2 linked regions of the Macaca fascicularis genome follow. The protein of the gene in region 1 purifies or fractionates together with the protein of each later gene. This does not show direct contact. Links are inferred from orthologs where the notes say so. Each region holds a gene or a part of one and is shown on either strand. Other genes may lie near its edges. The genes, in order: GLS and SIRT5.

Region 1 (16,332 bases):
CTCTCAGCCAGATGGGACAATCAGAAATGTCTTCAGACATTGCCAGGGGACAGAATCATCCTCAATTGAAAGCATCTGGTCTAAGGGGAAACACCATTGTGGAAGTCAGACAGGAAGTCACTGGCAGGCTAGTATCCTTTGGATGAACAATTTACTTACTATAAGTTGTCCTGGTCAAGGCAGCTGGGCAGAAGGCACTGGTGGGGGGAGGGTGAAGGAGTTCTTAGTAATTCTGCTTCTTTAGCCTGTACCTGAAACACAGTCACTGATTTTACCCACTGAGTGACCTTTAGAGGAAATGTATCATTTCCCTCTCCTTCCTCACTACCTCTGGCATATGGCTCAGCGTTTCCACACCCTTGTTTCACATGAGCAGATCTGACATGTTGCTCTGTCCCCAGACTTGCATAACAGCAAAAAGCTTTATGCAGTCTGGACGGATTCACAAAATTAAGCCAGTGGGCAACAGAGTAATAATCCATCAGCTTAGGTGATATAAAAGGTCTTGATTAGCCCAGAATAATAGATAGTACATGCTGAAGGCCCTCTCATTCCATGGTATTTACTTGCCATTGCAAGTATCTTCCTACTACTTCATTCTAGAATAGACGAGCAATGTTTAATGTATGAATCTGCATTTCACAAGATCAGTGTAATAAACTTAACCACATTTTGTCTTTTTACAGATGAACGCAGTATAGAACATGAATTTTTTTCATCTTCTCTGGCGACAGTTTTCCTTCTCATCTGTGATTCCCTCCTGCTACTCTGTTCCTTCACATCCTGTGTTTCTAGGGAAATGAAAGAAAGGCTCGCAAATTCGCTGCAACCTGTTGATAGCAAGTGAATTTTTCTCTAACTCAGAAACATCAGTTACTCTGAAGGGCATCATGCATCTTACTGAAGGTAAAATTGAAAGGCATACTCTGAAGAGTGGGTTTCACAAGTGAAAAACATCCAGATACACCCAAAGTATCAGGACGAGAATGAGGGTCCTTTGGGAAGAGAAGTTGAGCAACATCTAGCAAATGCTATGCATAAAGTCAGTGCCCAACTGTTATAGGTTGTTGGATAAAGCAATGGTTATTTAGGGAACTGCTTGACACAGGAACGGTAAATTTCTGTGGGAGAATTCTTACGTGTTCTCTTTGCTTTAAGTGTGACTGGCAGTTTTCCATTGGTTTATCTGTGAAATAGTTTAAAGCCAAGTTTATATACAATTATATCAGTCCTCTTTCAAAGGTAGCCATCATGCATCTGGTAGGGGGAAAATGTTGTGTATTTTATTACATCTTTCACATTGGCTATTTAAAGACAAAGACAAATTCTGCCTCTTGAGAGAATATTAGCTTTACTGTTGTTATGGCTTAATGACACTGGCTAGTATCAATTGAAGGATGTACATTTCCAGATTCACAAATTGTGTTTGATATCCAAAGCTGAATACATTCTGCTTTCATCTTGGTCACATACAATTATTTTTACAGTTCTACCAAGGGAGTTAGGCTATTCACAGCCACTCATTCAAAAGTTGAAATTAATCATAGATGTAGATAAACTCAGAAATTTAATTCATGTTTCTTAAATGGGCTATTTTGTCTTTTTTGTAATTAGGGTGGTGTTTAGTCTATTAGCCACAAAATTGGGAAAGGAGTAGAAAAAGTAGTAACTGACAACTTGAATCATTGACCAGAGATAATATGAGAATCAGATCATTTCAAAACTCATTTCCTATGTAACTGCATTGAGAACTGCATGTATTTCGCTGATATATGTGTTTTTCTGACAATTACATTTGTGAATGGTTCCATTATCTTTCCTGTGCTTTTTCCAGACACTTTTTTGAATGGATGATGTTTTGTGAAGTATACTGTATTTTTTACCTTTTTCCTTCCTAATCACTGACACAACAAGTAGATTAAGAGATGGGTTTGACAAGGTTCTTCCCTTTCACATACTGCTGTCTATGTGGCTGTACCTTGTTTTTCCACTGTTGCTACCACAACTATATTATCGTGCAAATGCTGTATTTTTCTTTGGCGGAGATAAAGTTTTCTTGAGTTTTGTTTTAAAATTAAAGCTAAAGTATCTGTATTGCATTAAATATAATATGCACACAGTGTTTTCCGTGGCACTGCACACAATCTGAGACCTCCTCTCTCAGTTTTTATATAGATGGTGAGAACCTAAGTTTCAGTTGCCTTTTACAATTGAAATGACTAAAAAACAAAGACAACATTGAAACAATATTGTTTCTAATTGCTGAGGTTTAGCTGTCAGTTCTTTTTGCCCTTTGGGAATTTGGCATGGTTTCATTTTACTGCACTAGCCAAGAGACTTTACTTTTAAGAAGTATTAAAATTCTAAAATTCTGTTAATCTCTTATTAATAGTATTTAATATAAATATTCTTAAAATTACTGACATTATGAATTAGTTTGATGCTTTTCTCCTGTACCTCAATCCTTATTTTAAAATAAGATTAATAACACTCTTTTCCTAAATGTTGTCCTTACCTGCCCTATGCATACTCAGAATTGCTATGGCAGATTAAGATATGTCAATGGAAGAGGTCAGAGGAGTAATATTATTGGAAAGAGCTATAATAGGTGCCATAAAAAGCAAACAAACAAACAAAAGTACTTTGGTTCTTTGCGACCACAGCTGTCTCCAAATATACAAATGATTCAGCACTTATTTTAAAATGAATCTGGGTATTGCTAATACCCCCAAATTAGCAGTTTTTAATTTTAAAATACATGAGAAATGGGACTTTGTCTTGTCTCCAAAGCAGTCATCTAAAATCTACACCCCCATGATTAGATGAGTTATTACTGAGAAGTTATTGTACCCACACAAAAAGCTGCCATTTTTCCCCAAAGATGTCAAAAGCTAGAAAGCCAGGCCTTCTCAAAGTAAATACACTGTGTACTGGGAAAAAAAAAGGGTAAGAAGAGGCGTAATCACCAAGTTAGACATAGTCTGGCAAATTGTATTTAGCTATTATCATGGAATAGTGTTATTCCCTGATAATGCTGGCATCATAACCAGAATGATTATTCTCATCTCCGTATCTGTTGTTATTTACATCTAGGAAATACAAAGGTTATTTATAGTGAACACTGAGAGTGGTCTCTCTCCAAGGAGTAAAGTAAATATGCCCTGGCTAATAAGTTTGTATTCTTACCTAATTAACCATTATAAGAAGTCATTGAGTAGATCCTAACTTAAGGAATATTTGTGTGTTTGAGTATTTCTCGTGTGGTGTTTGTAAGTTTGAAAAGTGTTTTATAAGCATAGAGCTTATGTGTGCTACTGAGGACAAATGTCTAATTTTAAAGGAAAGAGGGTTTTCTGAGATGGCATGAAATGAGTGAAATCTATTTATTTCCTGAAAGCTGAAGTGGAATATGAAGGCAAGTCTTTCTGAACAGAGCAGTCCTGTCACTGACTAACCCAGGGAAAGGACAGGAAAAAGCTAGAAAGTGTTTTGAAAATTATTCTACTTACCTTTTGAATTGGGACGTTAACAAAGTAAGGACCATTTATGTGAGTGGCTTCCTTTGGTTAGTTACGATTCATTCATTAATTAATTTATCAAATTTATACAGAGCACCTGCCATGAGCCAGGCATTATACTAGATGTTTGGGAAACATTGGTAAACAAAAGCAAAGATCCCTGCTTTTATGGAACTGAAGATGTTCTGAGACACCGGATCGTACATTCTAGTGCAATCACCTTATTAAAAAACAAAGTTTTATGATACAAACAGCCAGAAGCTACAAATAATGTAAATGTTATATTTAAAAAATACAATTTCAAAGAAATGACATTTAAACCAGTTTTAGGAAAGCTGAAGAGAAACAATATTGTTTTTAGAGCTTTTTGAGATGAGCTTTTCTCTCTCTTAAATGATAATCCTCAGCTTCCAAGTTTTCGTGAACTTACTTTGGGTTTTGTGTTTGCTATACTCACTAAGAAATTAAATACCTTGCTTGATTTATTGTAAAAAGGAAAAAAAAAACAACAGAGGCAGGCTTAAGCAGTCTTAAACTTATTTATTAACGTTATCTTGAGTCTACAGAGAACATAAAGCTTTCTAAGAGGTAGAAAGCTGTCAAATACCTATTATCAAACTCTGAATTCTCCTATAATATTTTGTAAAGCTATTATAACACCTTAATACCTGTGTCTGTTTGTAGCCTTTCCACATTTCTTGTACATAATTGAAACAGTCTTGATATTCTTTTGCCATGGGGACTGCTTGTCAGACACACTTCATAGCAGCCTTTTTACTGGCTATTTGGAAAGGAAGCAAGGGGTACAGTGGGGGCACACACAGGCCTGGAGTCTGGTTCATTCTCCAGAATAGAAATAAATGCCCCTAGTCTCTGCCTTTAATACCTTCTTGTCCAGTTGTTTTACTGTATCTCATGCCTCCTTTTTAAAAAACTGCCTTTTCTAATCTTTTCCATTGCCAAACACATATAATCTAGTGAATCACATCATTTCCTTGCATAACTATAAGATTATCCTTTCCCAAAAAGCCTTTTTATAAGTGCCACCTAACACATTCATGGGCTGCTTCCCTCGGCCATCTGGTGTATGATTTATGAATTTACTCATTTTACTATGAAGATTAGCAAGTAAAATTAGGAAGGTTACCCCAACTCCTGAAAAAGTCCTACAAAAATAAAATGATCTTGTATCAAGAATAAAAATAACTATTCACTATTTAGGATTATTCACACATTTGTTGCGCCTGCACTGATGTCCTGCTCCTATCCATGGATGTATATATGTATAGCTGAAGTTGACTATGTGTTGCAGGACTTTCTGTTGTAGCATTTATGCCTCTTCCTAAAACTCCACAGAGGAGAGGCCTTAGCTAATAGGAGATAGTGCATATGAATAAGCTAATATGCATATTCTATCCATACCTGGGCATAATCAGTGTTGTGGGACATAGAACAACAGCGCAGGCCTAAGAGTTCTGTATCACAGCCCACTCTTGGGTCTCAGCTTCATCTATAAAAGAGTGAGTTAGATTAGAGAATTTCTGATGTCTCTTCTAATCATTGTGGTAACCCCACTTGTCACCTTGCATACTACCTGGCTCATCGCAGTTCTAAAATGCCGGCAATGCAGTGACTCTTCTAGCAAAGTAACTTACTTTGTGACAGATAACGTTGATAAATGAAAATGTAACAGTCATGGCATTCATGTACTTTCTCTATGATTGGAAAACTATACACTAACCCCTGGCCTGAAAGGAAGGAGTGCTCTGAAGACCAGGGATTTCTGGCATTGGAAGCGAATGCTATTCTCACACAGAATAAATTAGGAGCTGAGGTTTACTGGCTGGTCACACTCAGATTCTAGTGTGGCAGTACTAGGTTCAACTCTCTAAATAAATTTTAAGGCTTTGTGAAAATAACCTCTCCTCTCATTCAAGGGTATGTTTAATGGTTCCATTCAATAAGTATTTACTGAGCACTTCCTAACTGTAAAAGGATAGTGTTTGCATTTAGGGGACTAGAGACATGCCTGCATATCCCTCACCTTCAAAGATGAACTACACACAGGATTCTTGTCCTAGTCATTGTGGTAACCCCATCTGACACCTTGCATAGTACCTAGCTTTATAGCAGGCATTAGAAATGGATTGGAACCCAACCAGACATGGTCTGTATGCTCAGTGGAGTTCCTGGCTCTTAAATGTTTTAAGAAAATTCATTTTTTCACACAGTTTTTTTTGATACATATATTTATTATGCTGTAAAAAGCAACACTACCTGATTGCATTTAAAATAAATGTTTCCCAATTTCAGAATACTTACAACTTGTAGTTTTAAGATTAGATTCACTTTGGGAGGTTTTAGAAGCAAATACATTCATAGCTGTATAATCCCCAGGAAGAATCTAAATCTGACATCAGGTCATTCAGTCCCTGCCAGACAGACAACAGCATCAAATGGTCAATAGCTAATCCAGCTCTGCAGCTAAAGGGCAGTGTCGGGCAGCAGTGGGGTATAGCTTATTACCAAAGATGAGACCAGCAAAAACAACAATGTATATAAAGCTGTAACATGACCATATAGAGCTCTCATGATACAGAAAAAGCACATATGATACTAAAGCCAAAACAAAAAGATCTTTGGAGTTTACTGACGGCAGCAGTTAATAGCACAGTCAACAGCATTTAAATCAAATATATTATTACCAGCCAACAGCAAACAGCCCGAGCAGGAATCGGCACATAGTCATAAATAACATCAGGGGTAAATAAGGGCACATTTAATTAAACAACAAAGATTTTACAGAATGGTTTTGATCTGAAAAAAGATGAAAACTCTCTTTGTTCCCAAATAATGGTTAGAACCTCTTTTTATTATAGAAAAGCCTCAAAATCATTGGTAATCTTCAAGTCACACAATTGAACTGTCTTAATGTTTCATTTTAGTCACACAAAGCACGCTGCTGTTTGAGCAAAGTTATCTCAATTGATTTCAATTAAAACGTGTCTACCCTGTAATATTTTTGGGGATAATGCTGCTCCTGTGCAGCATCTTGCAAATGCTACCTGTCTCCATGGCTTGACAGATCCATAGGATAGGAAACTGCTCACTCACCATCCTCCCCACGGAAGCTCAAGCGTGGGAACAGCTTTGGGCCTGGTGCAGCTAAGGAACATTGGCCGTGGTTTCACCAAACGAGGTGCCATCTAGGTAATGGGAGGGCAGTGGCTGGAGCCACTGGCTTAGACTGGAAGTGAAAATGAACGCACCTGGAGGCTGCTGGAGTAAGGTGCCATCAGGCATGGTAAAGCTTAGAAGCAGCAGTGTGTGCTCATAGAAAAAAAAAGGAAAAGGAAATTGCTGTATGTGGCAACAACTAACATTCATGTACTTAAGCTCATTTCACTAAACACAGCTTCAGAGAAGTCCATTTGTGTGCATGTGTGTGTGTGCTTAATATCAGAAATCCTCACTAACATGCCTCTTTATCTCGAGGTATGACAGGATAAAATGTATGTGTAATTCCTAGAAAATCCTGTTCTATTAGTTTTTTGAAGCCCCTTTTACCCACTTTCCAAATGAATCCTGAATTACCAACCCAAGACAAAGAAAATTATAGGTCACAATTTAAAATGAAATGGCCTTTTTCTTATTATTAAACTACAGAGCCCACCAAGAATTACACAATAGAAAATCACAAGAAATCTGGAATGATCCAATGGTCCCCCAAGGAGGACAAATCTCTTGGTGCAGACTCTTAATGACAGGCTTGGAAACAAATGTTAGTGGTAGCAGTTCCCATACTTTCAGAATAACTTTGGTAGCTTAGAGCATTTCTGAATTTATCTTTACCCTAGAAGCTAAAAAAAATCTTCTTAAAGAGCTGCGGTTGCACATCCCTTCGTTTTTTAGACTGGTAAACTTGACTAATTTATACTTAGCAATTTTGTCTCTGGTTCGTCTTCTGTAGACAAATGGCAAAGTTCTGATGCCAGAAATAGGAGGCATTTTCTGACTTACTATGGAAAACATAAAAACTGCATAGTATGCCAGCACTCACTTTCCCAGCTGAAGGAAAGAGGCAGAGAGCTAAATGAGAAGAGAGGCTGGACTAAGGGGATATAGAAAAAGGAAAAATTTTCAAAAGTATTATAACTACATTCACACATATGTTTTGGTCACCAAACATATCTTAAACAGATTCCCTGATAAAGTCTAATCAGAATTGGTCTATCTTACTAACAGTTGTTAACTATTATAGTTTGTTTAAGAGTCACATCGTGAAGCTAGGGTGAGAGACACTTTAAACACACAACCATAAGTGCATATAGTTGTTCAAACACTCAAACTAAATTTGTATTTGAAATCTTGAAAATCACACTATTTGCTTCTAAAGGCAACCTTGACCCATTTGGACAGACTGTACAACAGAGCTTAATTTATAAATGCATATCAGCAGATCATCACCATAAATTGAAAATTCACAAAACACAAATAAATCATGGAAGACCACACAATTAAGCTAGCATTGGTAACTATTTCTTTTACATCAAATTATACAATGCACGAGGTAATATTGCTCACATTATGGAGGGAGACTGTTTTATTTCTATTTTTTCCCAAAGAGATCAGATTTGTCCTGTGCGCACAATGAAGAAAACTCCAGTAACACTGAAATGACAAATGTAAAATATACATCACTACCAGACAGAAATACACACGGTCTTCATAATCATTTTCCACAATTAAATAGGTAAGTGATTTAAATCTTGGGATTTGAGACCATTACAACAATCCATCAAGATTCTTATGGACGGTTTGATTTTCCTTCCCGTTGTCAGAATCTCCTTGAGGTGTGTACTGGACTTGGTATTCTTGGAGAATTTTAAATACATCATGGTGTCCAAAGTGCAGTGCTTCATCCATGGGAGTGTTATTCCACCTAAACACGTAGCACAGCATGGACAGGGTCATTAGGTAATTTCTGTACAAAGATGATCACCCCACATTCCCAGATTTTAAATGCAGGTTAAATGGCCATTTTAGCAATTTTACAAATAAAAATTAATAATAGAAATGCAGAAAGGGATTTATAATTCAAAAAGTAGTCTCCAAAACAAGTTGGGATATGGAGAGGAAGAGAAAAAGATCTGTGAAAGGATCTTGTTTATACATACAAGTGCTTATGTAGGGAGCTTTTTAAGGAAAGTCCTTGTGTTGACAGATATAATAGACTGCTCTAGGGTTCCAGAATTTTGGCTTCATGAAAAGCCCAAAGTATCTCTTTTAAAATAAAATGTTCAAAGAAAATTCAGGTATGTAACATCCATCACTCTAGCCTTTGACAGAAAATTTGTGTTTGTGTCAATTCAAAGCCACAGTAAGTCTCAGAAGTCTAGAAATAACCATGACCCCATTAGGGCCAAAAACACATTGGAGGAGCAAGATTGGCCCCAGAGGAATTGACATTTTTATCACCTCTGGTAAGGTTGGGAACCCATGGACTCAATCGGACCACTACACCAGCAGCAGAACAACTCCCCTTTCCATACTAATAACTCCCCTTGCCATGCTTCTGGGGCTGTGCTGTTTAGAGTGATGTCGATGAAAATTCGAGGATACGAAAAAATGAAGAGTTGCCAGAAGTGGTAAGTCTTTTGCAAGAGGAGACAGAACTACATAACTCACAGCCCTAGTCAATGACAGGGTATGAGAGGCAGTTCCCTTACACTTTACAAACTGTGAAGCCTGTCTTCCTACCCTCTCTCTCTCTCTACTTACGTTACACAATTCTCCATGGCTGCTAATCTCTCTTTCTTCATCCATGTGCCACTGTCACCACCTTCCTAGTTTCACTTCTTCCTGTTTCCTTCTTTCCATCTCTGTCCTGAACTTTTTACCCGCTTAGTGGAGTCACAATATGGAAACAAAAGGGTTTTAAAACAGTCTCATTTTGTAATATATTTGGGTAAATTTTGGTAGCCTGTTTTTAAAATCGGGTAAGTAAAACTTTACATGTATCTTTGTATTTCTCAAAACAAAACAAAACAAAAAAACCAGCTGAATGAAGTGACTTTGAATAGGCCTTCATTAGTTTAGGAAGTCAGTGGCTTGAAAGAGACTTTTGAGTCATCCTCTATAGTATGTAATTATCTGTCTTTCTGGAAAAATGGAATGTCAACTGCGTGTTACCTTTTTTACAACTCTTCTGTGAATTAATGAAAAATATAAACGTTAAAGAATACACTAATTTCAGCCAGGCACAGTGGCTCATGCCTGCAGTCCTATCACTTTGGGAGGCCGAGGGGGGCGCATCACTTGAGGCCAGGAGTTCAAGACCATAATGGCCAACATGGCAAAACCTCTCTCTACTAAAAATACAAAAATTAGCTAGGTGTGGTGGCACACACCTGTAATCCCAGCTACTCAGGTGGCTAAGGCAGGAGAATTGCTTGAACCTGGGAGGCGGAGGTTGCAGTGAATGAGATCACGCCACTGCCCTCCAGCCTGGGTGACAGAGCAAGACTCTATCTCAAGAATACCCAAATTTTGCTCAAACCTATTTTATAATTTAAGGTGACACTGATTCTATGAAATAGAGAAAAAGACTTGCTGAATGCCTAGTTATCAAGTTACTTACTTAGCTCACTTTTTCTTATCAGATGGGTACATCTACTTTAATATTCCTAGAGGCCAATTTAGGGCAAAAAAAAAATAATACATATACAGAGCACAGTAATATTTCCAACAGGTATTACATAGTGTTTTAGTTGGGATTATAAACACAGGAGGAAAATGCTCTTCAATTTCTTGCTCTAGAAAGCTGGGATGGGTATTAAAATTTGGGGAAAGGGAAGAATGTCACCCTAACATGAGGTTTTAGAATACTGCCAATAAAGGTCATTTTAATCATGGTGCTTTTTTACAACTACAGGAATAAAGTTAGATAACCAAAGTATTAGCAACACTTACAAAATTGCTAACATTTGTCAGACACTGACATAAGTTTTCTGCATTTCTTGCAAGCTAAGAGCTGAACCAACAAAACCCAAACCCTAATTTTAAAAAAGATAGTTGGCCAGGCTCAATGGCTCACGTCTGTAATCCCAACACTTTGGGAGGCTGAGGTGGGAGGGCTGCTTGAGCCCAGGAGTTAGAGACCAGCCTGGGCAACATAGTAAGACTCTGCCTCTACAAAAAACAAACAAAAAAATTAGCCAGGCATGGTGGCGTGTGCCTGTGATTGCAGCTACTCAGGAGGCTGAGGTGGGAGGATCACTTGAGCCTAGGAAGTTAAGGCTGCAGCAAACTATTATCATGCCACTTGCACTTCAGCCTGAGTGGCAAGGCAAGACCCAGTCTCAAAAAAAAAAAAAGAGTTAAAGCTTAATAAACAGAAAGGCAAAATAGCTAAAGTGTAATCAACTTGCTCCAAACTTAATACAGCTCCCGGTTCTCAAATGAATCCAAACTCCTAATACATATCAAACCACCATCAAGTATGTTTTTTATCCCATTCTAAACTTTTATTCTCATTACTCGCTGACTCATCCACTCCAGTACATAATTTCCAAGGATATGAATCTAGAGTTTACTGTACATGTGTATGTGTAAGCTGCGTTCTATCCCTTCCCTGACCACTTTGTTGACAGCATTTGCTGCAAGATGAATAGCAGTTTGCTATGTCGACCAGGAGGGAAAGAGGAGGAACAGAAGGTATTCTAGGCATATTTTTCCCATGACAGATAGAATGCCCTTCTTTTCATTCTGTGCCTTCAATCTCGTCTCTTCCCCAAAGCACTGATTAAAATTTAACTTCCATGAAGCCTTCCTAAAACTGATTCCAACCAAATGCAGAAATTTCAACAAACTCCAATATATTCATTTTAGAGTTAACAAGTTTTCTTACACATTTTAGCTTGTTTAGAAGCCTTCCCATTTTTTATGTCTCAATATTGTGAGCAAGTTTGTATGCTGATAAAATTCACATTATTATTAAAAACAAAATCCGGCTGCATAAATGTCGAATCACTGTCCTCACCAATCACTGGCTTCTTTGCAAATCTTAAGAGAGAACATTCAGTGTTAATTATCATCTTAAAATTTATGCTTCTCGGCCGGGCGCGGTGGCACAAGCCTGTAATCCCAGCACTTTGGGAGGCCGAGACGGGCGGATCACGAGGTCAGGAGATCGAGACCATCCTGGCTAACACGGTGAAACCCCATCTCTACTAAAAAATACAAAAAACTAGCCGGGTGAGGTGGCGGGCGTCTGTAGTCCCAGCTACTTGGGAGGCTGAGGCAGGAGAATGGCGTGAACCCGGGAGGCGGAGCTTGCAGTGAGCTGAGATCTGGCCACTGCACTCCAGCCTGGGCGACAGAGCAAGACTCCGTCTCCAAAAAAAAAAAAAAAATTTATGCTTCTCTAAAGGTTTATCTTATCTACCCCGTGTTGTTAAAAACCCCATGAGGGGTACCAACAACTGCAAAAACATACAAAATGGTAAAGACCATCAACACTATGAAAAAACTGCATCAACTAAAGGGCAAAATAACCAGCTAGCATCATAATGACAGGATCGAATTCACACATAACGATATTAGCCTTAAATATAAATGGGCTAAATGTCCCAATTAAAAGACACAGAATGGCAAATTGGATAGAGTCAAGATCCATTAGTCTGCCATATTCAGGAGACCCATCTCACGTGCAAAGACACACATAGGTTCAAAATAAAGGGATGAAGGAATATTTACCAAGCAAATGGGAAGCAAAAAAAAAGCAGGGTTGCAATCCTAGTCTCTGATAAAACAGACTTTAAACCAACAAAGATCAAAAGAGACAAGGCCATTACATAATGGTAAAGGGATCAATGCAACAAGAAGAGCTAACTATCCTAAATATATATGTATCCAATACAGGAACAACCAGGTTCATAAAGCAAGTTCTTAGAGACCTACAAAGAGACTCAGACTCCCACACAATAATAGTGGGAGACTTTAACACCCCACTGTCAATATTAGATCAACAAGACAGAAAATTAACAAGGATATTCAGGACTTGAACTCAGCTCTGGACCAAGCGGAGCTAATAGACATCTACAGAACTCTCCACCCCAAATCAATAAAATATACATTCTTCTCAGCACCACATCGTACTTATTCTAAAATTGACTACATAATTGGAAGTAAAACGCTCCTCAGCAAATGCAAAAGAACAAAAATCATAACAAACAGCCTTTCAGACCACAGGGCAAGCAAATTAGAACTCAGGATTAAGAAACTCACTCAAAACCGCACAACTACATTAAAACTGAATAACCTGCTCCTAAATGACTACTGGGTAAATAACGAAATGAAGGCAGAAATAAGTAAGTTCTTTGAAACCAATGAGACAAAGACACAACGTACCAGAATCTCTGGGACACAGCTAAAGCAGTGTTTTAGAGGGAAATTTATAGCACTAAATGCCTACAAGAGTAAGCAGGAAAGATCTAAAATTGACACCCTAACATCACAATTAAAAGCTAGAGAAACAAAAGCAAACAAATTCAAAAGCTAGCAGAAGACAAGAAATAACTAAGAGCAGAACTGAAGGAGATAGAGACACGAAAAACCCTTTAAAAAAATCAATGAATCTAGGAGCTGGTTTTTTGAAAAGATCAACAAATTAGATAGACTGCTAGCAAGACTAATAAAGAAGACAGAAGAATCAAATAGACACAATAAAAAATGATAAAGAGGATATCACCACTGATCCCACAGAAATACAAACTACCACCAGAGAATACTATAAACACCTCTACGCAAATAAACTAGAAAATCTAGAAGAAATGGATAAACTCCTGGACACATACACCCTCCCAAGTCTAAACCAGGAAGAAGTCAAATCCCTGAATAGACCAATAACAATTTCTGAAATGGAGGCAGTAATTAATAGTCTACCAACCGAAAAAAGTCCAGGACCAGACGGATTCAGAGCCGAATTCTACCAGAGGTACAAAGAAAAGCTAGTACCATTCCTTCTGAATCTATTCCAAAAAATAGAAAAAGAAGGAATCCTCCCTAACTCCTTTTATGAGGCCAGCATCATCTTGATACCAAAACCTGGCAGAGACACAACAAAAAAAAATTTCAGGCCAATATCCCTGATGAACATTGATGCAAAAATCCTCAATAAAATACTGGTAAACTGAATCCAGCAGCACATCGAAAAGCTTATCTACCACGATCAAGTTGGCTTCCTCCCTGGGATGCAAGGCTGGTTCAACATATGCAAATCAATAAACGTAATCCATCACATAAACAGAACCAGTGAGAAAAACCATGATTATCTCAATAGATGCAGAAAACGCCTTCGACAAAATTCAACATGCCTTCATGCTAAAAACTCTCAATAAACTAGGTATTGATGGAACGTATCTGAAAATAGTAAGAGCTATTTATGACAAACCCACAGCCAGTATCATACTGAATGGGCGACAGACTGGAAGCATTCCCTTTGAAAACCGGCACAAGACAAGGATGCCCTCTGTGACCACTCCTATTCAACACAGTATTGGAAGTTCTGGCTAGGACAATCAGACAAGAGAAAGAAATAAAGGGGCCGGGTGCAGTGGCTCACGCCTGTAATCCCAGCACTTTGGGAGGCCAAGGTGGGCAGATTACCTGAGGTCAGGAGTTCGAGATCAGCCTGGCCAACATGGTGAAACCCCGTCTCTACTAAAAATAGAAAAATTAGCTGGCCATGGTGGACACCCACCTGTAATCCCAGCTACTCAGGAGGCTGAGGCAGGAGAATTGCTTGAGCCTGGAAGATGGAGGTTGCAGTGAGCTGAGATTTTGCCACTGTACTCCAGCCTAGCTGACAGAGTGAGACTCTGTCTCAAAAAAAAAAAAAAAAAAGAAAAAAAGAAAAAAGAAAGGTATTCAAATAGGAAGAGAGGAAGTCAAACTGTCTCTGTTTGCAGATGACATGATTGTATATTTAGAAAACCCTATTGTCTCAGCCCAAAATCTCCTTAAGTTGATAAGCAACTTCAGCAAAGTCTCAAGATACAAAATCAATGTCCAAAAATCACAAGCATTCCTATACACCAATAATAGACAAACAGAGAGCCAAATCATGAGTGAACTCCTATTCACAATTGCTACAAAGAGAATAAAATACCTAGGAATCCAACTTACAAGGGATGTGAAGGACCTCTTCAAGGAGAACTACAAACCACTGCTGAAGGAAATAAAGAGAGGACACAAACAAATGGAAAAAACATTCCATCCTCATGGATAGGAAGAGTCAATATAGTGAAAATGGCCACACACCCAAAGTAATTTATAGATTCTATGCTATCCCCATCAAGCTACCATGGACTTTCTTCACAGAATTAGAAAAAAATACTTTAAATTTCATATGGAACCAAAAAAGAGCCCACATAGCCAAGACGATCTTACGCAAAAAGAAGAAAGCTGAAGGCATCACGCTACCAGACTTCAAACTATATTACAAGGCTACAGTAACCAAAACAGTATGGTGCTGATACCAAAATAGATATATAGACCAGTGGAAAAGAAATGAGGCCTCAGAAATAACGGCACACATCTACAACCATCTGATCTTTGACAAACCTGACAAAAACAAGCAATTGGGAAAGGTGTTGGGAAAACTGGCTAGCCATATGCAGAAAACTGAACCTGGACCCCTTCCTTACACCTTATACAAAAATTAACTCAAGATGGATGAAAGACTTAAACATAAGACCTAAAACCATAAAAACCCTAGAAGAAAACCTAGGCAATACCATTCAGGACATAGGCATAGGCAAAGACGTCATGACCAAAACACCAAAAGCAATGGCAACAAAAGCCAAAATTGACAAATGGGATCTAATTAAACTAAAGAGCTTCTGCAGAGCAAAAGAAACTATCATCAGGGTGAACAGGCAACCTACAGATTGGGAGAAAATTTTTGCTATCTATCTGATAAAGGGCTAATATCCAGAATCTACATGGAAGTTAAGCAAATTTACAAGAAAAAAACAACCCCATCAAAAAGTAGGTGAAGGATATGAACAGACACTTCTCAAAAGAAGACATTTATGCAGCCCAACAAACATGTGAAAAAAATATCATCACTGGTCATTAGAGAAACACAAATCAAAACCACAATGAGATACCATCTCATGCCAGTTAGAATGGCGATCATTAAAAAGTCAGGAAACAACAGATGCTGGAGAGGATGTGGAGAAATAGGAATGCTTTTACACTGTTAGTGGGAGTGTAAATTAGTTCAACCATTGTGGAAGACAGTGTGGTGATTCCTCAAGGATCTAGAACCAGAAATACCATTTCACCCAGCAATCCCATTACTGGGTATATACCCAAAGGATTATAAATCATTTTACTATAAAGACACATGCACACGTATGTTTATTGTGGCACTGTTCACAATAGCAAAAACTTGGAACTAACCCAAATGACCATTGATGATATACTGGATAAAGAAAATGTGGCCCATATACATCATGGAATACTATGCAGTCATAAAAAAGGATAAGTTCATGTCCTTTGCAGGGACATGGATGAAGCTGGAAACCATCATTCTCAGCAAACTAACACAAGAACAGAAAACCAAACACTGCATGTTCTCCCTCATAAGTGGGAATTGAACAGTGAGAACACATGGACACAGGGAGGGGAACATCACACACCAGGGCCTGTTGGGGGGTCAGGGCTAAGGGAGGGATAGCATTAGGAGAAACACCTAATGTAGATGAAGGGTTGATGGGTACAGCAAACCACCATGGCACATGTATAC
Region 2 (16,332 bases), on another chromosome or scaffold:
TTTCTTCTTTTTCTCTATCTGCATTTTCTTGCTTTTCTACAATGGTGATTTGTTTTAATTCTTTATAATAATTAGAGATGAGACAGAGATCAAATGACTGAAAAGAAACCATATTAGAAGAACCAAACTGGGGACATAGCTCATGTCCTGCTTCACAAAGTTCATCCTGTCCCACTCTTTGAGTTTTCTGATGGTCTTTCAAACAGACAGGAGGCTTGAGCTACCTAGCTCTGGTATTACTACTCTTAGTCATGCTAAGTGGCCCAGCTGCTACCCATAGGTGCCACAACACAAATCAGAGGGAGGCCTAATGTGCATTTTTCAGGAGATAAGTTAGAAGATAATTTAATTTTTTATATAACAGCTTTATTGAGGTTTGATTCACATACACTCCACCTATTTCAAATATATAATTCAGTGTATTTTAGTGTATTCACAGAATTATATGACCATCACCACAATAGACTTTAAAGCATTTTTAACAACCTCGAAGAAACTTGTTCTCATTAGCACTCACTCCCCATTCCTCCCTACTCCCAGCCAAAACAACCACTCATCTACCTTCTCTCTATTGATCTGCCTATTCTGGATATTTCATATAAATGAAGTCATACCATATGTGGTCTTCTATGACTAGCTTCTTTCACTTAGCATAACGTTTTCAAGGGTCATCCATGTAGTAGCATATATGGATACCTCATTCTTCTTATGGCTAAAATATAATGCATTGTACAAACATACCAAATTTTATTTATTCATCCTTCAGTCGATGGACGTTTGGGTTGTTTCCACTTTTTCCATGAACAAGTTGCTATGAACATTTGTGTACAAATTTTTGTGTAGATGTATGATTTCATTTCTAGGACTATATACCAAGGAGTAGATTTGCTAGATCACATAGTAACTCTATATTTAACTGCCACATTGTTTTCCAAAATGACTGCCCCATTGTACATTCCCATCAGCCATGTATAAGGGTTCAAGTTTCTTCACCAACACTTGTGATTTTCCTTTATCTTAAAAATTATAGCCACGCTTGTAACTATGAAGTGATATTTCATTGTGGTTTTATGATATTGAACATCATTTCAGTATGCTTATTGGCCATGTGTATATATTTGGAGAAATGTCGTTTCAAATATTTTGACCTGGTTTTTAATTGGATTGTCTTTTTATTATTTATAGTTGTAAGAGTTCTTTATATATCCTGGATACAAATCCCTTATCAAATATCAAATATTAGACTTACAAATATTTTCTCCCATTCTATGGGTTGTCTTTTTACTTAATCGACGGTACCCATTGGAGTATAAAAGTTTTAAATTTTGATAAAGTCCAATTTACCCTTTTTTCTTATGTTACTTGCATTTTTGGTGTCATATCTAAGAAAGCTTTCACTAACCCAAGGTTACAAAGATTTACTCCTACATTTTCTTTTGACATGTTATACTTTTAGTTCTTACATTTAGGTCTATGATCCATCTTGGGTTATTTTTTGTGTATGGTGTGACAGAGGGCTCCAAGCTCATTCTTTTGCGTGTGGATATCCAGCACTATTTCTTGAAAAAGACTGTATTTCATCAAATTGTCTTGCCACTCTTCTCAAAAATCAACTGACCATGAATGTGAGGTTTTGTGTTATTGTTCTGTTTTGTTTTTTACTGGACTCTCAATTCTACTCCACTGATTCTATATATCTATCCTATGCCAGTGCCGCACTATCTTGATTACTCCAAGTTTGTAGTAAGGTTTTTTTTTTTTTCTTTTGATGGAGTTTTGCTCTTGTTGCCCAGGCTGGAGTGCAGTGGCGCAATCTCGGCTCACCACAACCTCCACCTCCAGGGTTCAACTGATTCTCCTGCCTCAGCCTCCCAAGTAGCTAGGATTACAGGCATGTGCCACCATGCCCAGCTAATATATAGTAAGTTTTGAAATTGGGAAGTATGAGTTCTCCAACTTCATTTTTCATTTTGTTTTGGCTATTTTGGGTCACTTGCATTTTCATATGAATTTTAGAGTAATCTTTTCAATTAATTGCTGTAAAAAGCCAGTTGTGATTTTGATAAGGACTGAGTTGATTGAGCCCTTAGATCAATTTGGGGAGCATTGCCATCTTAATCATATTAAGTTGTCCAATCCATGAACATTGGATATGTTTCCATTCATTTAGGCCTTCTTTATTTCTTTCAACAATGTTCTGTAGTTTTCAAAGTATAAGTTTAGCATAGGAGGCAATTTTTTTTAGGCTATCTTCTTAGTTCCTACTACTCACACACAAATGAAGAACTATGGATCAAGAACACAGGCTATAGCTGATCAAAAAGACACATGGAAAAGAAGAGGCCCAGAGCCAGTTCACTCACCTGAGGAGGGGCCTACTTAAGTGTCTGTGGCCCCTTTTCTTTTTTCCTTTTTTTTTTTTAAATCCCAGCAGAGACTTTGAAGAGTGGTTCCTATCCTGGCTGCACACTGGAATCACCTAGGAAGCTTATCAAATGATGTCTGGGCTGCAACTCAGAGCAATGACACTGAAATTTCATGAAGTGGCCCCCAGGCATCAGTATTTTTAAAATATGCAGCCAAGGTTGGAAACTGCTGATTAAAGTAATGACAAGATGTTTCAATGAAGTTTTCTATTTTATTCATTTATATTCATTTACTACTTATTTATAGTCTAACTTATTCAAAAGGAATTAACTAGATGGACAAGAATAAGAAGTAAAGGCAAAAAAAAGTTGGAGTGAGAAAAAAGACAGAAGGGTGAAGACATAAAACAGACCCAGGAATAAGACTAAAAATGCATACTATGACAATCTACACTTCCCACCTAAACTTGGGAAGCAGGATCAGTGTCATAACATGGCCACAGATACAGATAACCTTGGCGATTAGACCAAAGGGGAATCTGCCAGGTGGCCTCCCAGTGAGAACGGCAGGTGATGAGGTTCTGCAAGGGCGTCTCCCAGGCTTACTTGCGGAGCATCTGGGTAACCTACAACTAAAGGCCATCACTGAGTCTAGCTTAAAAATGTAAGGGAAAGCAAAGCCTAAGGAATCAAAGAAGAGCTTTCAAAATGTGAACAAACAAAAGTCCCATGGCAAATGTCGTGTACAATGACAGAGCTACCCTACCTTAGTCTACAGTGAATGATTTTGTTCTTCCATAAAAGCAACTGCAGATCAAACAAAAAAACACAAACCCTGTGTCTTTTTTAAAAATTAGAGGAGTAGGTCAACTATGTTTAGATGACCATGTCTGCACCTGCCTCCCACATCGCCCTCTCCCATCAGGGTATCCCAGTACCTGAATCTGTTCGTAGCTGGGGTGGTCTCCGTATTAAATTCTGCCACTGGCACGCCCCTGGCAGCCACCTGGGGGGCAAACATGGCGGCTGGGTACACCACAGAGGAAGTGCCCACCTACAAGGCAAGCACATGGAGATGGACAAACGGCCACACGACAAGAAGGAACATTTTTTCAGAAAACCTTACACAAACTCAGATAGGTCTGTGGTTGCAGGTGTGAGAAAAGCCAAACAGGATGGGATAAAACAGGGTGTCCAAGGGATGAGGGAAAGTGAAGAGCTGTCCTTTGATCAATCACTAGAATCGACAAGAATATGTGACATGAAAAGGAGAGTTAACAAAAGAGTGACTTAGAAGTGACTCAACATGTTTTGGGGGTAGTTCTGGTTTTGTTTCTGCTTTAAAGTTAAGCAAATGATCCATAACTTTTTAAAACATATTTTCTTTTTGTTAAAGGTAGAAAATACGAAGAAAAAAAATAGATATCATCAATAATCTTACCCCAAGATAACCACTGTTAACATTTTCATGTATGTCCTCTTAGGTTTTCTCTCATAAATATTTGCTTATAAACATTCTTTGCAGGGATGGGAAGAGCATGACTGGTTTGTAAACCAGCTTTTCTCATTTAACAATCCATCATCAACAGTGATACTATACTCGACATTGGAAAGCATTCTTTAAATACTGGCTGAATGAATATGCACCACAAGAAAGTGCCTCTGCTTTTAAAGATGTGTCCAGAAAAATTTGAAATATGCATACAATCTGTCCAATTAATCCCACTTTTAGGAAATGTGTCTTAAGGAAATCATTTGAAGAGCATGGTAAGATTTCTATCTAAGGATATGTACGATATCATTGATTAAAATATCAAAATTTGAAATAGCCCAAATGTCTTACAGTAGAGAATTAGCTAAATATATCATTCCCTATCCATATAAAACACCATACAGTCAACTGAAAGATGATATTGATTTAGATGTACTGACATGGAATATGCTAAGTGAACTGCTGCGTGAATAAAGTAGTTTCAAAACAGAACATATGTCATGAAGTCAGTTTTGAATTTTAATTAATATGTGTACATCTGCATAAGAAAAGGTTTAGACCAGAGGTGGGCAAACTTATTCTGAAAAGGACCATAGAGTAAATTTTTCAGGCTTTGCAGCCATTCAGTCTCTGTCACAAGTACTCAACTCTGCCACTGTAGTTTGAAAGTAGTCATAGTGTGTGGAAGAATGAGTGCGGCTGAGTTCCAATAAAACTTTATTTACAAAAACAGGTAGCACGCCCAATTTGGCCCAAAGGCTGCTGTTTGCTCACTCCTGGTCTAGAAGAAAATATACTAAACTGCTAATGGTAACTATTTCTGATTAGCAGAACTATGGGCGATTTCTAATTTCCTCTTTATAATGTGATAATTTTTGCATGTTCTCAATTAAATTTAATCATAAGCACGTATTATTTTAAAAACCAATAGTATGTTTTTTTTTTTTGGTGGGGCTGGGGGAGAAGGCTTTGAGATGTCCAAGACATGCATGGTTTCCTATTTTAATATAAATTCTTATTCATTGTTTCTCAGTTTTTCTATAGGATGCCACAAAGACCTCTCAACATACATTTTAAGGAAAGGAAGAAGGGGAGGGGGGAGAGAAGGCGGGAAGGAAAGAAGCAAGGGAGCGAGGACGGAAAAGGGAAGAGGGGGAAGCAAAAAATAACTAACTCCAGTCCTGTCTTGGGGTCAGGGAAAGCCGTGACCCACCACTAGACATAAATCACAGCGGCCGAGCTCTTTGTCAACCTCCTCCAGAATGGCAGGATCCAGGTTTTCTCCAAACCACACGACGTGAGGGCGCAGCAAGCCTCCGCAGCCTGCCTCTTCACACCTGGAAGAATGGGATCCTTGAGCCAACCCCGAGCAAAGTCTGCCCAGCTGGATCGGAGGGCGGCCAGGGGCTACCCCAAACCCAGTACGTCCAGATGGTTCACCTCTGATGCCTCTTATTCCCTACACTCTCCTCCCAGCCTATATAAAGTTGCCTTGCATGTGAAGCATCAGGTGTAACGGTCCTTTTTTTTTTTTTTTTTTTTAATTTATTTTTTTTGAGACGGAGTCTCGCTCTGTTAGCAGCCCAGGCTGGAGTGCAGTGGCGTGGTCTCGGCTCACTGCAAGCTCCGCCTCCCGGGTTCACGCCATTCTCCTGCCTCAGCCTACCGAGTAGCTGGGACTACAGGCGTATGCGACCACACCCGGCTAATTTTTGTATTTTTAGTAGAGATGGGGTTTCACTATATTGGCCAGGCTGGTCTCGAACTCCTGACCTCATGATATGCCTGCCTCAGCCTCCCAAAGTGCTGGGATGACAGGCGTGAGCCACCGCGCCCTGCCGAACTGTCCTTGTTTTTTATCTTGTCTCTGTGTACTTGATGTGCTGACAGATTGTTTCAGCTAAGCTTTCCCGGTTCCTTCATTATGCTCACACTTGTGCTCACAGCCACCCAGACCTGGGAGTCATACTGGACTCAGGTTTGCCTCCCACCCCAAGCATCCCCTAATTTCATCGATGACCTTTCATGTGCTCTCAGGTTCACGTCTCTCTGGCCCCGTATGTAGTCAGCTTTCCTGTATCCATTACTAAAAATCTCTTTCTTTCACTCCCTCCTACCTCAGGGTCACCTTCTATACACCTCCTAAAATCATCCCTCAAACACCATTTTCATCATCGTAATCTCCTGCATCATAGAAGTCCTCCAGGTCTCCCTATTCCTTCAGAAGAAAACTTTAATATTTAGCAATTAAAACCCTCATAAGGAAAATTTAAAAGGTTCTGTGGTTAAATAAGTCAGTAAAGCATTAACATACATTTTATAACCACTTTTTAGAAGGCAGCAATGTGGAATAAATGCTCTGAAAAGTCCTGCAGTAGAGCAAACATATTTTAACTTTGTTTAGTCTAACATTTCTGTAATTTGAGTGCCTAACATGTTTTTATCAAGTAATGCCTCTCAACGTAATATTAAATTAATGTTCTATGAAACACTTTTAGAAGTGCTGTTTTATTTTACCTTAAAAACACTCTAATCCAGCCAGGTGCGGTGGCTCATGCCTGTAATCCCAGCATGTTGGGAGGCCGAGGTGGGTGGATCACCTGAGGTCAAGAGCTCAAGACCAGCCTGGCCAACATGGCAAAACCTCGTCTCTACTAAAAACACAAAAAATAGCCGGGCATGCTGGCGGGCGCCTGTAATCCCAGCTACTCGGGAGGCTGAGGCAAGAGAATCATTTGAATCCAGAAGGCGGAGGTTACAGTGAGCCAAGATCGCGCCACTGCACTCCAGCCTGGACATCAGAGTGAGATTCCATCTCAAAAAAAAACCAAAAAAACAAAAAAACCCGCAACAAAAAAACCTCTGATCCAATTACAGATTATAGAAGTGCTGTTTTAATGTCTGGTTTTGAAAAATTGGCATCAAAATCTTCCTTTTTTTTTTTTTTTTTTTAAATCTATGAACATTCTGTTGGGTCCTGTAACCTCTCCTATTCACGTCCTTTCATTGCCTCCTTATTCATTGCCTCCTTAACCATGGATTAATAATGCCAGTGATGTTATTTGACCAGTTATAGGTCAGCCCATATGCTTTCTGTACACTGGGTAACCACCTGTCACACAACAGCTTCAGAAACTTTCCCGACCTGAAATGATCCCGCCAGAACACAAAGCAAAAAGGGGTTGGAAAGAAATCATTTTTTTCATCCTACTTTGGTTCATCCTTTGTCCTTTCACTTTTGGTCTTAGAGGTCAAGGCTAGTTTTCACATTTGTGCATTTGATTTAAGAGGCATCTTGCCAAATACATGTTTAGATTTTGATGTCTATTTTTTTTGTAACCAGGAACACTGGTACAAATCAGAGCTTTTTACCCACCGGGGAAGTTTCTCAACTGGGATGCTGGCATCTTGAGTTCCAGGTTCTGGAGCACTGAAGCAAATAATATTAGAAAAGAAAGATTGTTATTGGCATAATAAAAAATAAAGAAACAACATAACTCAGTTTGTATATTTGCCTGGTAGTATGTGGTGTAAAACTCCTAATTAATACATGCTCACTTGGAAGGGCATTAGAAGGAAGGACCCCAGGCCATTAATTACCAGTGGTACTGGGCATAGTGGCTCATGCCTATAATCCCAGCATTTGGTGAGGCCAGAGTGGGTGGACTGCTTGAGGCCAGAAGATCAAGACCAGCCTGGGCAATATAGTGAGACTGCATTTCTACTAGAAATACAAAAATTAGCTCAGTGTGGTGTGTGCCTATAGTCCTAGCTACTTGGGAGGCTAAGGCAGGAGGATTGCTTGAGCCCAGGAGTTGGAGGCTGCAGTAAGGTGTGATTGTGCCACTGTACTCCAGCCTGGGAAACAGAGCAAGACTCTGTCTCAGAAAAAAAAAAAAAAAAAAAAAAAAATCACCAGTGGTTGTACTGCCAGTGAGAGAATTCGTGTGTAGGGAGGGCTGGAGTAGCTGGGTGTGCTAAGAGGGAACTTCATGTTTACCTTTATACATCATCATCATTTGTATCCTCTGCAATGACATTATACATTCCTTATATAATTAATACTGTTTTGAAATGGAATTTTCCTCAATATTGTGTCTACCCTCAAATGTTTCCCTCATTGTAATAACAGTACTTGTTCATCATAGAAATGTAGGAAAATTCAGAAAGATATAAAGAAGAAATTAAAAATTACCCATAATCCCTCCACTCCTGATATTCCTTGTTAATATTTTGTTATATTTTCTTCTGGTCTTTTAACTATATGCAGTTATACAAACTCATGTGTGTATAAATTCAGGACCCTGTGGTTTTCACTTAACACTGTAAGTTGTGAGCAAAATATTTCTTTTATCACAAGGCTATATTTGTTTTTTTTTTTTTTTGAGACAGGGTCTCCCTGTCACCCAGGCTGTGGTGCGGTGGCATGATCTCAGCTCACTGCAGCCTCGACTTCCCAGGTTCAAATAACCCTCCCACTTCAGCCTCTCTAGTAGCTGGGACTACAGGCATGTGCCACCATACCCAGCTAATTTTTTTTTTTTTTTTTGTAGAGACAGGTTTCTCACTATGTTGCCCAGGCTGATCTTGAACTCCTGAACTCAAGCAATCTTCCCACCTTGTAACCCCAAAGTGCTGGGATTACAGGCATGAGCCACCGCACCCAGCCTTGTATTTAGTCTTATTTCTCATATCAATGGGAATCTTTGATGAATGTTCAATTTCCTCACATTTATGTCCGACCTAAAGGAGAAAACAACATATACTTATTCTGTAGTGTGGTATAATTACCCTTTTCCTGATAAAGCTGGACAAATTGGACTCTTGTAATTCTCAGCCACAACGCCACAAGAGGTACATCGAGTTTTAAATAAGCTACCTGAAAAATACATATGAAGGAAATCCAGAATTTAGTCTAATCAAGAGCAATCATCTCCACATCTGAAAGGGTGTAAGATACTTCACTTTCCACACTTCATTTCATTTTCTGGTCTCACCCAGTTACCCAGGCTGGAGTATAGTAGTACGATCATAGCTCACTGCAGCTTCCAACTCCTGGGCTCGAGCGATCCTCCTACCTTTGCCTCCTGAGCAGCTGGGACTATAGGTGTGCACCGCCACACTGAGCCATACTTCATTTTAGCAAATGGGCCTACCCTAGCTTTCATGGGAAACAGAGGCATGTAGTACTCTTAAGCCAGTCAAGAACATATGCCCTCAAGGACTTTATAATCTGGAGGAAAAATAACTAACTCCATGACTAACGTGCCGTCAGATGACCTTGGAGTGGTGTTCAAGTGGGCAGAAGTGGCCAATAGGGTAGAGGGAGCTCAACGTAAATCTAAGGGCATGATTTATTGATATGACTGATAAAGGTTCAACGGCATGGGATATGTTTACAAAATCTTAACTTTGATTTCAGAAAGCTTCAATCTTTTATACAAAAGCACCTCAATAAATAAGTAATCAACTACTAAGTGAAAAAAGTAATTGTTAATACTAATGACTACTTATTGAGCTGAAGGGGGCCAGAGTTTATGAAATGGGTACTGGGCACCTGGTACCATGCAGAGCACTTTCAACCACGGTGGACACGCGCTGCTCCGTTCTGCCCCCGAGTCCTTCCTTCGGGACCACCATCCCTGCTCTCTCGCGTGCTGAGCCAATAGAGCTGTGGGTCACATCCCAAATACAAGTTCGGCCACATGCTCCACACAGCCCCCATGTGGGGCCCATCCCTCTGCAGTCATGTTTGGTCAGAAGGGTGGGCATGTGGACCAAGCAAGCCCACCCAGAGGTTTATTTTCTGAGCAGGTGGCTGAGCTGGAGAGCCTGGAGCTGTCGGAGGCACTCTCCCCTGGCACGTGGAGGCAGATCAATTGCAGAGGGAGAAGGGAGGCCACCTCAAAGAGTGAGTAAAGCTGAGAGAAGGAGGGGGCCAGGGGCCAGGAGGAAAGATGACACAAGCTGCACCCCCAGGCTCCTCGGTTTTGTCAGTTTTAGTATAGACGTTTTTCCCCATTTTCACATCTCTGAAATTCAGATGTGTCCTGCAATTGCTACTAGCCAGATGTGAGTGTGACATCACCATCATGCTTGCACAGACTTGCTGAAGGAGAACACTGAAAAGTGGGGTGACTTGGTTGTTATTCTCCGTGGCCTGACCAGGCAGATTCAGCCCCTGGATCCTTCCACCAACAAACCATTCAAGGGCCGCTTCAGGAAGGAAAGCGGGTTTTGGCTGTTGTCTACAGCCTTTCCACTGATGGCCTCTTGGTAAGAGTATGTCAGGCCCAATAGCGAACCTGCGGAAGGTGTGCCAGGAGCTTGCACGAGAATCGCAGCTCTAACAGAGGGGCATTCTCTCTGGAAAGGCCGCATCATCCATGTCCTGAGGCACAGAGCATGAAACTGCATGGAAAACACAGACATCCATGCTCTGAGACACTCAGAATTCAGAAGAGCTAGATAATGAGAAATATTTGGACCAGTTTATTATACTCATTTTAACAAGCTCTCTAAGTATAAAATAACAATTCTAAGGGATAATAAAATAGTATATCATGGTTTAGGCAGATTATATTCTAAATGCCACATTAAAAACACGATGCATCTTAAAACACCCTTCATCAGACTGAAGATGCCATTGATTTTTTTTAACCTAAGTTAGAAGAGAGTTCTCATCATTTGAAACTAAAAAAAGTCCTAACACACATATATGATCTTATTTAATCCTTACAACAATTCTGTAACTAGGCATTGTCATCTCAGTTTTATGCTGATGACATAGGCCACATTCTGACATTGCAGGGAAATAAGCAGAGGCACGTGGAAAGTGGCTCAGACCCAGTAGATGTAGGTACCAAAAAGATGCTCAGTTAATAGGTGGCTGGCTGTTCCTGGCAAACAAAAGAGAGGCAGAGTCGAAATGAGTAATGCCTCGCTTTCCTTATCAGGGTGACCTAAGTAAAAGCAGGCAGCTTTACCACCCACACGCAAAAACAAACATCCCCACTGGTGCACTGCCTCTGGAAATGCTACACTTAGAAATGCATTCTTGGCTGGCGCAATGGCTCACGCCTGTAATCCCAAAACTTTGGGAGGCTGAGGAAGGAGGATTGCTTGAGGCCAAGAGTTCGAGACCAGCCTGGACAACATGGTGAGACACTGTCTCTACAAAAATTTAAAAAATTATCTGGGCATGGTGGCATGTGCTTGTAGTCCCAGCTACTCTGGAGGCTGAGGTGGGAGGATCCCTTAAGGCCAGGAGTTCAAGCCTGCAATGAGCTATGATCGAGCTACTGTACCCCAGCCTGGGCAAGAGTGAAACCCCCATTGCTAAAAAAAGTAAATTAATTAATTGAATAAAATTAAGAGAAATAAATGCTTAAAAAATACGAAATGCATTCCTTGAATCTGAATGCAGACTCTTTAAATGCAAATGGCCTTGGGAGAAACCCTAGTTTGCCCATTATGACTGTGGACAGCTGGATGTATTAGACTTGTGGTGACAGTAAAGAAGGGAGGAACCAGAAGACAAGAGTGAAGGAGTGAGGGGTCACCCAGGACAGAGGAAGGAGCCCAGAGGGACCCCAGACAAACTCCACCGACATCACAGGCTTGGTGGGTTTGGTGGTGTCCAGCACTGAGCTGGCAGCTCTCTGAGGCTCCAGGGTGGGGCGGAAGCGCAGCCTCAGTGGGGAGTGACCACCAGGATGAAGGGAGAGTGACAGGAGACCCCAAGATGCTGCAGTCTGCCCCTGCCCAATCCTGCTCAAGCCCTGGCTGTCCAATGAGCCAGGCCTCCTGTTCCTCGGCTCATTGAGGCCGTTGTCTCACAGCACCGTGCCCCTCCACAAAGGAAGGGGTCATGCAGCTGTGCACCCCAGCGTTCCTCCAGTAGCACACCAGCCACCTGGGCTCATGGGAAAATGCAGATTCTGATTCGGTGGGTCCTATGGGGCCTGAGATTCCGCATTTCTAACAAGTTCTTGGGGGACGCCGAATGTCGCTGGCTCTCAGACCATACTGAGCAGCGAGGATGCAGGAACTGCTAAGTAAATAATGCTATGGGTCAGAGGCTCCTCCCATGGCTAAAGGGAGCTGCCCAGGTGCCACGGGGCACTGACATGTCTCCAAAGGAAATGCCACAGCATCCTATGGGAACGGGACAGGTGTCCACCAGGGAGGGAGGGAAGGCACCAGGGGTGATGCTGAAATGGCAGGACAGGTGTTTTAAAGTTGGTTCCCTGAACGTGAGGCTGGGGGTCTCTCACCATGGATCTCCAGAAGGTTCTTGGTGCCAGCCTTGCGGTGCAACTCATCGATGTTCTGGGTGATGACCACGACTCGCCGGCCCTGCTTACCCAGCCGGGTCTCACACTCGGCTATGGCGCGGTGCCCGGCGTTGGGCTCCTTGCTCCCCATGACCTCCCGCCGGTAGTGGTAGAACTCCCACACCCGGGACGGGTTGTGGGCAAAGGCCAGGGGAGTCGCCAGGTCCTGGGGGTGGGAGAGGAGGCGGGAGTGAGGGAGGCAGGGGCAGCCAGGATGCTGAACTCTGGGGCACAGGCCCTTCCTCCCTAAGGCAGAGATAGGCAGCGTCAGGAGGGTGCAGGCTGGAGATGGCAGCACTAGGTTCAAACAACATGGCAGATGCCAGGCAGGGCCTGGGTACCAGCCTACATCCCCATCCTGGGACTGCCCAGGGGTCTTGGAGAAATCAGTCAATTTCCTTAGTGACAAAGCAGGGACGATGCAACCTGTCCCATTTATCTCCCAAGTAAGCTGTGAAGATGAAGTAAAATAATATGCAGGAAGGTATTTTGGGTCGAATCCCCTTTTTCATGGAGCCCTAAAACATATGAAGTGGATCTCATTTTGACCTACACCCAGGGAAAACATGAAATGCGAAATGCCCATTGAAGTCTAATGACCATGGTTAAGAAACTCAGTTTTGATAACTATAGCTATGGCTATACACACACACATACAACTACACACATCTACATCCACACACATCTACACACATACAACTAACACATACACACAACTCAACATACATACACACTATACACATCGACACACACACAACTGCACACACACACATATAACTAGACATACACATGACTATACACATCTACATCCACACACATCTACACACATACAACACACACAACCACACACATCTATACACATACAACTGAACACATACAACCACACACACAACTCAACATACATACACACTACACACTGACACACACACAACTGCACACACATACACATAACTAGACATACACACGACTACACACATCTACATCCACACACATCTACACACATACAAATAAACACATACAACCACACACAACTCAACATACACACTACACACATTGACACACAACTGCACACACATACACACAACTAGACATACACACGACTACACACATCTACATCCACACACATCTACACACATACAAATAAACACATACACACAACCACACACACAACATACATACACACTACACACGACACACAACTGCACACACATACACACAACTAGACATACACACGACTACACACATCTACATCCACGTACATCTACACACATACAAATAAACACATACACACAACCACACAAACTCAACATATATACACACTACACACGTCGACACACACACAACTGCACACACATACACACAACTAGACATACACATGACTACACACATCTACATCCATACACATCTACACATATACAACTAAACACATACACACAACCACACACACAACTCGACATACACACTACACACATTGACACACAACTGCACACACATACAACTAGACATACACAGGACTACATACATCTACATACACACAACTACATACATATAACTACACACACACTAAAGATACACACACAACTACACACATCTACATCCACACAACTATACACACACACAACTACACACACAAACTAAACACACACAACTACACACATCTACATATAAACTGTACACACACAGCTAAACACACATACACTACTACACAAACTACACACATCTACATACACAACTGCACACACACACTACACACACAGCTAAACATACACACACTACACACATACACACAACTGCATACACACAACTAAACATATACACGCAACTACACACATCTACATACACACTATACACACACACAACTAAACATACACACAACTACATACACAACTATACACACAACTAAACATACACACAACTACATACACAACTATACACACAACTAAACATACACACAACTACATACACAACTACACACACAACTAAACATACACACACATCTACATACACAGCTACACACATCTACATACACACAACTGCACACACACAACATACAATTACACAACATACACACAACTAAATATACACATATACAACCACACGTATCTGTTAATATGCACACAACTAAACATACACAATTATACACATCTACATACACACACCTACACACAAAACCACACACACCTACACACACAGAAATACACACATCATACATACACAGCTACACACATACATGCAACTACACACACAGCTAAACACATACACGGCTACATATAAAAAGTGTATATTATATATAAACAGAATAGATAAAATACATATACTTTAAATATGATTCTGGGAGAAACAAACCTCCTTTCTGGTAAAGGAGCCGAGTAGGGGTTGTCTGGGGCCGGAAGCTGGCAGGGAAAGGCACAGGGAACTTTCAGCGATCACTGAAATTTCTGTTTCTTGACAGTGGAGGTGGGGGTGTTATGCAGGTGCATGCACCTGTCAAAACTCATCAACCTGTACACACAATGCACGTGGGTGCATTTTATTCTAAGGAAATTCTGCCTCAATAACATTAATTTTAAAAAGAAGTATGGCTTCTCTATCAAGGAGACGCTTCCTACATTGAACACATGTGCGTTTCATTCTACTGTAAAGGCCCCTCTGCTTGGTGGCAATCTCAGTCTTTGCCAAATGAGGGGTTGGCCCACACCGATCCTGCTCTCCACCTAGAACACACGGCCTGGAACAGTTTATAGGCGGCACAGCAACATGTCCACAGGTGTCCCTGGGAGGGTACTGGAGTCAAATGCATTCTATCGACTTCTTTGCTTTGTCCACAAACTCTGAGCCTTTTTGGACACAACTAAGCGCCCCTCCTCCAAGCTCCTCCCACACCTTCTGACCTCCCACCCTCTGCTGCTGCTAATCCAGGGAATGCCCTGTGGCCCCTCTTTCTTCCTGGCCCCTAATGTTCTCTGCTCTCCTTTTTCCTCCACTTCACCTTTAAGGTGATGACCCCCACCCTTCACCCAGAGGGCAGCAGGCAGGAGGCAGAGCACCCAAACATCTGCCAGGCTCAGATGTTCAGGAGAAGAAGGAGGGGGCAGGTTCATGAACTCTGCGTTCAATGAGAAATGAGCTACTAACCATGGAAGACATGTATTGCAGTACTTATTTATGACTGCTTTTGTTCAGCCAATGAAAATCCATTAAGCACTGATAATGTGCCAGAGTTCTGGGAGCTGGAGACAGTGCAATGAATAAAACAAACAGAGGCCGGGCATGGTGGCTCATGCCTGTAATCCCAGCATTTTGGGAGGCCAAGATGGGTGGATCACCTGAGGTCAGGAGTTTGAGACCAGCCTGACCAACATGGTAAAACCCCGTCTCTATTAAAAAATACAAAAATTAGCTGGGTATGGCGGTGCATGCCTGTAATCCCAGCTACTCGGGAGGCTGAGGCAGGAGAATCGCTTGAACCTGGGAGGTGGTGGTTGCAGTGAGCTGATATCACGCCATTGTACTCCAGCCGGGCAGCAAGAGCAAAACTCCGTCTCAAACAAACAAACAAACAAACAAACAAACAATTCCTTGTCTTCCAAAGCTAGGGATTTCCTGAGCCAGTGGGACGGGAGAGCACAGACTGCAAAGGGCCATGAAGGAATATTCTAGAGGGACAGAAATGTTCTACATTGTGATTATGGTGCTGGCTATACAACTATGTCCATTTGTTAAAACTCATTAAATTGTACACTTAAAACTGGTGACTTTTACTTTATGTAAATTAGATCTCAATAAAAATTGAATTTAAAAAATCCGCACCTTCACAGAACTTACATTCTGAAGGCTTTCCTATAAATTTTTGAATATCAAATCCTAACCCTTCAATAATCAACATTAGTTTTAACATGAAAAGTTCACAGAAACTCTGTGTCATACTTAAGTTCAATAACTTTAGAAAAGTAATGAATGATGCTAACGAAAGTTTTCTGATTTAACTTTAACACAATTATTAGGAGAAACTGTTATCTGAATAAATGCAATCCATACATATCTAGAAAGGAAAGTGGCAGCCTTGCTTAAATTTTGAACTTAATCATAGGAAATTTGTGTTTATGCCAAAAATCAATGAGACAATAGGGTCACAGTT

The links.
Region 2: the proteins of GLS (region 1) and SIRT5 purify together in Homo sapiens (affinity purification with western blotting; 3 studies listed by BioGRID and IntAct, with this or other methods). This does not show direct contact. The link is inferred for Macaca fascicularis from reciprocal best matches to the Homo sapiens genes GLS and SIRT5.

Annotation. Positions count from the first base shown.
Region 1 is NC_088386.1:86,651,059-86,667,390, reverse strand, and holds the end of GLS (glutaminase kidney isoform, mitochondrial), read right to left. Parts: intron 8,461-16,332; coding exon 8,304-8,460; 3' UTR 5,750-8,303; downstream 1-5,749. Other genes in the region: STAT1 (signal transducer and activator of transcription 1-alpha/beta), read left to right, coding at 687-701. UniProt on the Homo sapiens protein: Catalyzes the first reaction in the primary pathway for the renal catabolism of glutamine. Plays a role in maintaining acid-base homeostasis. Regulates the levels of the neurotransmitter glutamate, the main excitatory neurotransmitter in the brain.
Region 2 is NC_088378.1:159,345,956-159,362,287, forward strand, and holds part of SIRT5 (NAD-dependent protein deacylase sirtuin-5, mitochondrial), read right to left. Parts: intron 12,361-16,332; coding exon 12,135-12,360; intron 10,270-12,134; exon of another isoform or gene 9,530-10,269; coding exon 9,416-9,529; intron 8,738-9,415; coding exon 8,650-8,737; intron 7,289-8,649; coding exon 7,235-7,288; intron 5,196-7,234; coding exon 5,072-5,195; exon of another isoform or gene 5,033-5,071; intron 3,421-5,032; coding exon 3,305-3,420; intron 3,174-3,304; coding exon of another isoform or gene 3,134-3,173; exon of another isoform or gene 2,619-3,133; intron 1-2,618. UniProt on the Homo sapiens protein: NAD-dependent lysine demalonylase, desuccinylase and deglutarylase that specifically removes malonyl, succinyl and glutaryl groups on target proteins.